Yarrowia lipolytica: one gene and its partner. The protein of the gene in region 2 interacts with the protein of the main gene of each other region in a pairwise test. Links are inferred from orthologs where the notes say so. Each region holds a gene or a part of one and is shown on either strand. Other genes may lie near its edges.

Region 1 (4,473 bases), on a different chromosome or scaffold from region 2:
TAGAAACATTGCGTGCGTGAAATAACAATTGTCGTATTTGTAATAACCTGACGCCGTATAATACTATTTAGCTGGTACAATTGATACTGAATGCTCGCTCAAGGTTCTGAACTGACCTCTTATTCACTACAAGTGTTTGTATCTTCCAAATATCTCTCGTTATAGAGCTCCATACACCCCCTGTTATTTTAGCTACTGCTTGTACACGGAGATATGCGAAAAAAGTCAGATGCAGCAGAATCCAAAGACGACATACAATAGGCTTGTACTGTGAGTCCTATCCGAGTGCATATTCTGCGGTCATGGTGATTGACGGAGTCCGACAGACACGGTCACAGTGATTCGTATTGTGGCACTCGCTCTATGGCACTCGTGACTCGTGATCGCTATACGGTGTGAGGATACGTCCCGAGAAACTACAATGTAGCCCTCTGCCACGAGATCTTTTTCCGAAGTTCAGAACGATTCGTGCTGTTCACTCGCAGTTCTCACAATAATGTCAATATCTATTGGTATGCCTATATAACCCGTCCCTAGTCCCTCACAATGCCCCCATTTCCATCCTACACAACCTGAGGAGTGTCCAGGAAGTCCATCTCATTCAGAGCGTAGTCTAGCAGATAGCTCTCGTCGTACATCTCATCGACCCGGTTAAAGTGTCGCTCCGAGTAAGGAATGAGAGCGTCTGTCATGGTGGAAATCTTGGGCACCTGGCTGAGCTTGTCAACCGAGTGGTTAACCAGAATGCAGTTCATGACCCGCTGAGCCACCACCGACGATCGAGCATTCGTGTTCCAGTCTCGGACTCGCTTGATCAGAAGCTCCAGTTGCTCGACATTGAGTCCAGCAATCACATTGTCGACCTTAGTCAGACCCATGATGGAGTCCTCGTCCTGGCGATCAGCAAGCACGTCTCGGAACAGACAGAAAAGCTTGTAGGGCTGGTTCAGAGTCAGAGCAAGCAGAATAGCATTCTCCCAGTCCTTGGACCGCACGTAGTTTGCCAGCTGCTGCTCCTGCTCCACCTGAAGCTCGGCAGCAGCCTTCTTGGCAGCCTTCTCCTCGTCGGAGATATCCTTCCACACAGTAATGGTTCCCTCTCCGTCTCCAGAGACCATCTGGGCACCGTCATCGGAGCCTCGAACAGCCAGAGACCACACCTTGTCTTCATGGTTGTCCAAAGTGACAGCACATTCTCCAGAGGCATAAGTCCATACCTTGATGAGTCCGTCTCCTCCAGAGGAGACAATCTGGGAGCCCAGAGAAGTCCACACGGTTCGCAGAACCGAGTTGGTATGGCCTTCAAATGTTCGCAGGCACGAAAAGTCGTTCAGAGACCACACCTTGACGGTCTTGTCTCCCGATCCAGTTACAATCTGTTTCTCGTAGGGGTTGAACTTGATAGACCAGACGCCTCGCTTGTGTCCTCGCAGCACTCCCACAGCCTCACCCGAGTTCATGTCCCACACCTTTGCAGTTCTGTCCTGAGAAGCCGTAGCAAACAGTCTATCGTTAGGAGACACGTCCAGAGCATTGATATCCTTCTCGTGGGCCTTTCGGGTGTACTCGGCCTTCGCAGTACCGTCCTTGGCAATGTTCCACTTCTTGATGGTCAGATCTTGCGAGCCGGTAATGAGGAACTGAGGAGGTCGACCCTCAAGAGGAAGTCTAGGAAGAGCAACACCTCCCACAGAACCAGCATGACCGGTGCAGACAGCAAAGCAGGTCAGAGTGGGCACGTGCCAGATTCTAGCCTCGTGATCCTTTCCAGAGGAAGCCAGCCAGGTACCGTCAAACGATCGGTCCACGGCAATGACGTTATCTCTATGTCCAGTCAGAACGTTGGTTTCGATTCCTCCAACGGTCTGGATTCGAATGTCGGGCGCGTTGGTGACCACCGCCAGCTTGGACTCGTCTTCGCCAACATAAGTCATATCGATGATCTGATCATGGAAACCCACAATACGTCGCACCTCCTTTAGGTCGTCGTCCAGCTCCACAAAAGTCTGGTCTGACAGCACAGACACAAGCTTGTCGGTCTTATACAGAATGTCCACCACTCCCACTCGCTCGTTTTCCTTGTTGTGCACTGCAGGCTGGACCTGGGCAGCAATCAGAGCAGAAGTCTGACCGTTCCAGATCTTCACAACTCCCATCTCGCCACCAGTATAGATTCGAAGACCCTCGCCATTCAGGATACCGGCTGTCTCGATACTCTCACCCACGGGGATGGTTCGCACCAGCTTGAACTTGTTGGCGTCCCACACGTTGACGATCTTGTCTCGGCCTCCAGACACAAGAATGCCACCGTCGGAGCTCCAGGACAGACCTCGAATGACCGAGTTATGCGAATCCAGCACCTTGAGACACTTTCGGCTCACGAGATCCCAAACTCGGATCTTGCAGTCGTCCGCTCCGGACGCCAGGCGCCACACTGAGCCGCCCTGTTCGCCGAAAAACTTCAATGCAGAAACCACTCCTCCATGGCCCTTGAGATTGTGAGTCACAAATCCCCGCTCCAGATCCCACACCTTGACGGTTCCCTCGGCTCCTCCGGTCGCCACCAGACTCGATGAGCTGTCGATAGCCATGACAATCACTGGGGCGTCATGGGCCCGGGCTGATCGAACCAGTTCTCCACTGGGGATTCGGTATGTGCGCATTGTCAGAGATCGGGAGCATGTGACGAGGTATTGGGCATCGGGACTTATTTCCAGAGTCGTCAGAATCTCACTATCGCCCTCGATTCGGCAGATTTCCTCTCCAGTTTTGATGTTGGTCACCACCACGTCCTCTCCAAAAGAGGTGGCCAGGGTGTACCCGTCGTCGGCGAGAGAGGTCTTGCCACCGGTGTAGAAAGGCTCCACGGATACGGCTTCGAACGCAGTCTTTTCCGTCGTTTCCATCTTGTCTTTTGGTAGTATAGCAGATGTGTTTCGTGCAGTTGGATTTCAGCACACCAATTTTTTCCAATCTTGCATGTTGCAAACGTTAATTAATTTTTCCAGAACCATGTATGTAAGAGGAGGAAGTACGAGTAGCCTCTCTTAGTGGCATTGATCTGGAGTCAGACCAAAATGACAGCCTTGGAGCAGTCACTTTGAGCAGTTATTGGATTATTAAGACTCCCAGTTCCAATTTGTGACCATTTTTGATGGTCCTTCCACTTTTTTTTTTTTTTTTTCTGCATATACATTACATATACCATACTTCACCTAAGCTAACTAATACCACCTAAATTACTTACCCTCACCACCCCACCTCAACCCAGATCATAATAGAAACTGAACGATTGATTTACTGATCCAATGGCTCGTGTATTGCCGGCAGTATACCTTTTGTGACTGTATCGTCAAACTCTTGGCTTGCATTCTCCATCTACTGTATTTGTACTTATACAAGTATCACTTTTCCTTGTATTCAGTGCATATGCCCCCTATTTGGCTGTCATACGAGCTACAAAACACACATTCCCCCATTTATTACGAGTACAAGTACAAGTACGATACGAAGACACAACTATCACATAGAACGCCGTCTACAAATACGCCATTCAAGATAACTCCAGATCTTGTCGGTCACGTGGTCACGATCCGTCCTCATGTACAGTATGTACGATACCGCCAGTACTTGGCACACTGTTTGCAAATCTTCCTGCTACCCACCCGAGAGCTTCTTCAGAACACGTCACGTGACACGGAGTTTCCAACCTCCCCCCCACCCGCCGAGCCGTTGCACTGTATTACGCAAATCTCCCACACTGCACGCACAATATCGTGCAGTAACGTTCGACACGAAAGAAACAGGCATGTATGATTTTTCAAACGAGGAATACGAAGGTGGAACTTTAAGCGAAACGCCGGTGTGAAAAAACATGCGCTAACTATGAAGGCAATGGAGACAACTGGGAGAGACCAGACAAGGGGTTAAGACGTGTTTTTCTTTTGGAAGTGGAGTGAATGGAGTTGGTCACGTGTACACACACACACACACACACATACACAATCCACACAACCCAAGTCTGAATTCGTGGTGGGATCGAGTTGCAACAAAAGGTGGTGCGGATGCACGGACGGTCACCTCCACACGCCATGTCATGTCATCCCATCTCGCTCAGGTCGTATGTCTAAGGTTCTTCATGCAAGTGATTTGGGCAAAGCCTATTGTGTTTGTATATATAGACGCGACTGGGGGGCACGCATTACAACTAGCTATCACCGACAGTACGAACCGCCACAATGAAATTCGTCGGTCTGATTTCCCTGCTGCTGGTGGGTCTGTACATGGTCACCAACTGGCTCTTTATCAACGTGCTCCCACACAGATACATCTTCGACAAGGATGAGCTCATGACCATGGTCAACCAGACTCTGGAGCGAAACCCCGACGGAAACTCGACCGCCATTCTGACCGATCTGGGCGCCTCTCTGCACGACCGATATGGCAAGTTCATCAACGAGCTCAACTTTGACG
Region 2 (4,837 bases):
TACTGTGTCTTACTCTCGCTCATCCGTGAAGTGCTGGGGGTTTGTCCATCGTAGAAACACATCTGGGCTTCCTTCAGGAATTGAAAGCAAACCCCTGTTGGACATTTCCCAGGGTGGCGGTCGTTCCCTGAGTTACCGGAAGGATCTCTCCATTTTTCAGATCCCATAAGCCAATTTCCCGCAGATATTTGCGTGTCTTGGGACTTGTTTGAATGTTTCCGGGGGGCGTCCACTGTTCACAATGCCCCTGGGAAAGAGGGGGATTACTCCACATTTCGACTCGGTAAAGATCCAGTCCTTTAGAGAGTCCACTGACGGAATCTTCATCCTGGTCAACATGGAAAGAAGAACTTCGCACTTGCAGAAGATATGCTCGTGCAGATCCTGAATGATGGCCTTATCACAGAGCCCGCATCCTGGATTCTTCTTGGTGAAAACGTGGTCGTCAGGGTATCCTCCATTTTCACGAGCGGAAGTCGAGATATCCGCATGAGGTTGAAAGAACTTGTGTTCTTTGTTGGCGTCGGCGATGTAGTGTTTTTCGAAGGTTCATGCATTACCTCCTGCCAAGACCATGTCGTCCAGAGATGCCCCCGTAGTCGGCTTCGTTGAGTCCACTTCTTCGGTCGTGCAAGTGGTGTGTGGGAAGTTTGGCAAGTCGGGAGACGGGGTCTTGTGAAACATGAAGTTCTCTAGAGTAAGTTGGTGGTCCCATGCTCCACCGGAGGTGGTCGATTTCCGCTGTGGACACCATTCTGACCGGATGGTATCGTCTCGCGGCTGCGATGTCGACGTGTGCTTCCCGGAAAGATTCTGCTGCTCTCACGTTCACCTGGTTTCGTTCCCAGATTCTGTGATTAACTGTGTCTGTTGTAGAGGGCTCGTGATCTTCTCGAGGGTTGGCATGTTCCGCGGTGAGGGGCTTGTTGAGCTCGAAAGAAGCTCTGATTGCGTCTCGCATGGTGGGGGAGGCTGCGTAGCCCCAAGCTTGGCCTGTCGGAAAGCGGCAGTCGACGCGCTGGTGTGGCTTTTCCTGTGTGAGACTGTGAGTTCTGCTGTAGAACTGGAAGGTGCAGTCCCAAAGGGCCGGCGATGAGCCATGGAAGAACCTGTAAGCCCGAGCGGCCTTCAGGCACACCATGAAACGTCCCATGTCCCGCAGGTTCAGTCCTCCTCTGCCTACCGGAGTTTGGATGTATGTACAGTACAACACAAGTGTCAAGTAATATCCCAACAAAGACCCTATCGTGGCTAAACTAAATTATTGGACACTTGACTCTGTCAATAATTGTCACTAACTGTCCATAATCACATCACGAACACGAGACAACCGCCATAGCAAGTGTACGTCTTTGTAGTTATACTTAACCTAGCAAATGGTGACTTATGTAAGCAGAAGGGGTTCCTCAGTTGTACTGTTGCGCTCATAGTCATAATCTGTACTGTAAACTGAAAAACCTTAACGCGAAGTCTAAAATATTTTTATTTGCATGCATGGCGACTGCAATTTGCACTACATCTACAACCCCATCACACCATGGTAAAATCATACAACCGATTCGAGGCCGAGGCCGTGTTTGGCGTCGTGTCGTCGAGCAATGCGCTGTGGCTGAAAAATTCAAATTCCAGTACTGGACGGGCCGTGACAGGGGCTCTAGAGACAGTTCTGGCCTGGGACATCAAGGCCGGAACCTGTGTTCAGAAGCTGTCAGACAGCGATCTGGCAGTCGGAACAGGTGCCACGGTGGCAACTGCGTCTCCTCCGGTTGTTTCTGTGCTGACAAACTATTTTTCCGAACTGCTAGCTGCGGGATACACCGACGGCAGTATCCGGGTGTTTGACTATCGATCTGGCCAGGTAATGACCACCTTCAAGGGCCACAAGTCTTCAATCACATGTCTCGAGTTTGACGCAAGTGGAACCCGGCTTGTTTCCGGCTCGCGTGACTCCAACGTGATTCTGTGGGACCTAGTTGAAGAGGTGGGCGTGTCTCGACTGCGATCCCACCGAGACCAGGTGACGGGAGTCAAGTTCCTAGACGAAAAGAAACTCATCACGTGCGCCAAGGACGGCTTGGTCAAGATCTGGGACCTGGAGTCACGTGACTGCATCGAGACGCGGGTGGGCGGCTCCGAGGTGTGGGCCATGGACGTTTACAGCGACACCGTCATGACTGTGGGGCGAGAAAAGGAGGTCAAGGTCTGGCAGGTGGATTTGGACGCCAAGGACGGCGAGATGCTCTCTCAGCGCGGTTCTCTGGAGCGGGTTTCCAACGACCGAGGCATCGATATCGAGTTTTCCAAGGACGGCGGCCATGTCATCTTTTCCGGTAACGATAAGACTGTGGAATTGTGGCGACGACGAACTTTGGCCGAGATCAAGAAATCTATTGCTAAGAAAATCAAACGTCGAGTCAAGAAGGGTGATACTGTTGACGAAGACGAGTACGACGAGAAGTCGGTCAACGAGATCTGGGTGCAGGTGGTCAACTTCAAGACATCTGCCAAGATCAGAAACGTGACGTGGACGGGATCAGAATCGGTGTCTGGCGCCAACAAGGACGCCGCAGGCCTGCTGGTGGCGCTCACAAACAACTCTCTGGAGTACTACACCCTCGAGTTGGAGGACGGCAAGTTTAGCCGGGATCACGTGATCGATCTGTGCGGCCACCGCGCCGACATTCGGGCTCTGTCTCTTTCTTCTGATGACAAGATGGTGGCCTCCACCTCCAACGGTCAGCTCAAAATCTGGAATCTCAGAACCACAAACTGCATTCGGTCCATGGACTGTGGGTATGCTCTGTGTGTCAAGTTTCTGCCTGGAGACTCGCTGGTGATTGTTGGAACCAAGTCTGGACAGATCCAGCTGTTTGATGTTGCTTCCTCGTCTCTCATTGACACTGTAGATGCCCATGAGGGATCTCTGTGGTCTTGTGACGTTTCCAGTGACGGCAAAACCGTGGTTACGGGTGGATCTGATAAGCGGGTGTGTTTCTGGGAGCTGGCTGTTTCCTCGGAGACCGTTCCCGGTACTGGAGAGACCACTCAGAAGCTGAAGCTGAAGCAGACCCGTGTTCTGGAGCTGTCCGACGACGTTCTGTGCGTCACTCTATCGTCAGATAACAAGTACATTGCCTGCTCTCTGCTGGACTCGACTGTTAAAGTCTTTTTCTTCGACTCGCTCAAGTTCTACCTCAACTTGTACGGCCACAAGCTGCCTGTTTTGGCCATGGACATTTCCAGCGATTCCAACATCATCGTCACATGTTCGGCCGACAAGAACATCAAGCTGTGGGGTCTGGACTTTGGAGACTGTCGAAAGTCTCTGTTTGGACACGCCGACTCGGTCATGAGCGTCAAGTTTGTACCCGGGTCTCACAACTTCTTTTCGGCAGGAAAAGACAGGCTGGTCAAGTACTGGGACGGAGACAAGTTTGACTGCATCCAGCGGCTGGTGGGCCACGTCGGCGAGGTCTGGGCCCTCTGCGTGTCGTCTGCCGGTGACTTTATTGTCTCCGGTTCGCATGATAAGAGTATCCGAGTGTGGATGGAGTCCGATGACGAAATCTTCCTCGAAGAAGAACGAGAAAAGGAGCTCGAGGAAATGTATGAGTCCACACTCGCCGTGTCTCTCGAGGGAGAGGGCCAGGAGCTCGACGAAGATGACAAGGAAGACGCGGTCGTGGATAAAGTGCATATGCAGACTGGAGAGACGCTCAAGGGCGGAGAAAAGCTCATGGAGGCGCTGGAAATGGGAACCGAGGACCTGGACCTGATCGAAAACTGGAAGATTGCCCAGGCAACCAACCCCAACGCGGCCTGCCCTCCCCGTCACGTGATTCTCGCCACGCTGAAGCTGTCTGCCGAGCGACACGTTCTCAACGTTGTTGAGAAGATCAAGCCAGCGCAGCTGGAGGACTCATTGCTGGTGCTGCCCTTCAGCCACGTGATGAAGCTGGTGCGGTTCATCCAGATCTGGACCGCCAAGGAGTGGTCTATTCCTCTTGTGTGTCGGGTTCTCTTTTTCGTGACTCGAACTCACCATAAGCAGATTGTGGCTTCCCGGGAGCTCAAGCCCATGCTGGAGGAGGTGCGACACAACATTCGAAAGTGCCTGGCTCGTCAAAAGTCCGAGATTGGCTACAACCTGGCCGGTCTGCGGTTCATCAAGCAAAACTGGGACCTGCATCATAAGAAGGAGTTTATCGACGCTGTGGAGGCCAAGGAGGCCGAGGAGAGATCGCAGAAGAAGCGTGCTTTTGGCACGGTTGTTTAAATCGCATTGAAGAGCGAATACATGGTGACTTGTTGTCACTAGCTACTGCTAATTGAATAGATACTAAAGATAGGATATACAGATTACAGATTACAATGTTGAATTGTCCAGAACCTGGCGAGAAGAAGTCGGATGCAAGTGCCTTAAGGAGAGACGAGTTGAAAGTTGCCATTGGCCAAGTAGTGAGTCGGAAGTCCTACAAGTGCGAACTGACAGATTGAAGAATGGTAGTTCACGAGTTGCCATGGTTTTTCAATCGAGACTGTTCCATGTGCGGCCTGGAGGATCAGATTGTCGATTTCTCGGTTACACTCTCTTGTCATTGCTGGCCGGGCCAGAGATAGATCGCCTGCCGGATACTCCCAGTCACCTGAGATTGGCCGCATCTTTGAACTTGAGATGGAGCTCCCCCGTAGATACTGCCTCTCCTCCGTAGATACTGTCTCTCCTCCGTAGATACTGTCTCTCCTCCGTAGATACTGTCTCTCCTCCGTAGATACTGTCTCTCCTCCGTAGATACTGTCTCTCCTCCGTAGATACTGTCTCTCCTCCGTAGATACT

What was found. The genes of interacting proteins can lie anywhere in the genome.
Region 1: the proteins of YALI1_C01297g (region 2) and YALI1_E38020g interact in binary tests that used the Saccharomyces cerevisiae proteins (3 or more experiments, as listed by UniProt). The link is inferred for Yarrowia lipolytica from reciprocal best matches to the Saccharomyces cerevisiae genes DIP2 and UTP13.

Annotation. Positions count from the first base shown.
Region 1 is NC_090774.1:3,799,140-3,803,612, forward strand, and holds YALI1_E38020g (uncharacterized protein), read right to left. Parts: upstream 2,907-4,473; coding exon 564-2,906; downstream 1-563. Other genes in the region: YALI1_E38034g (uncharacterized protein), read left to right, coding at 4,239-4,473. UniProt on the Saccharomyces cerevisiae protein: Involved in nucleolar processing of pre-18S ribosomal RNA.
Region 2 is NC_090772.1:126,445-131,281, reverse strand, and holds YALI1_C01297g (uncharacterized protein), read left to right. Parts: upstream 1-1,537; coding exon 1,538-4,276; downstream 4,277-4,837. Other genes in the region: YALI1_C01301t (uncharacterized protein), read right to left, coding at 557-1,153; YALI1_C01262g (uncharacterized protein), read right to left, coding at 4,596-4,837. UniProt on the Saccharomyces cerevisiae protein: Involved in nucleolar processing of pre-18S ribosomal RNA.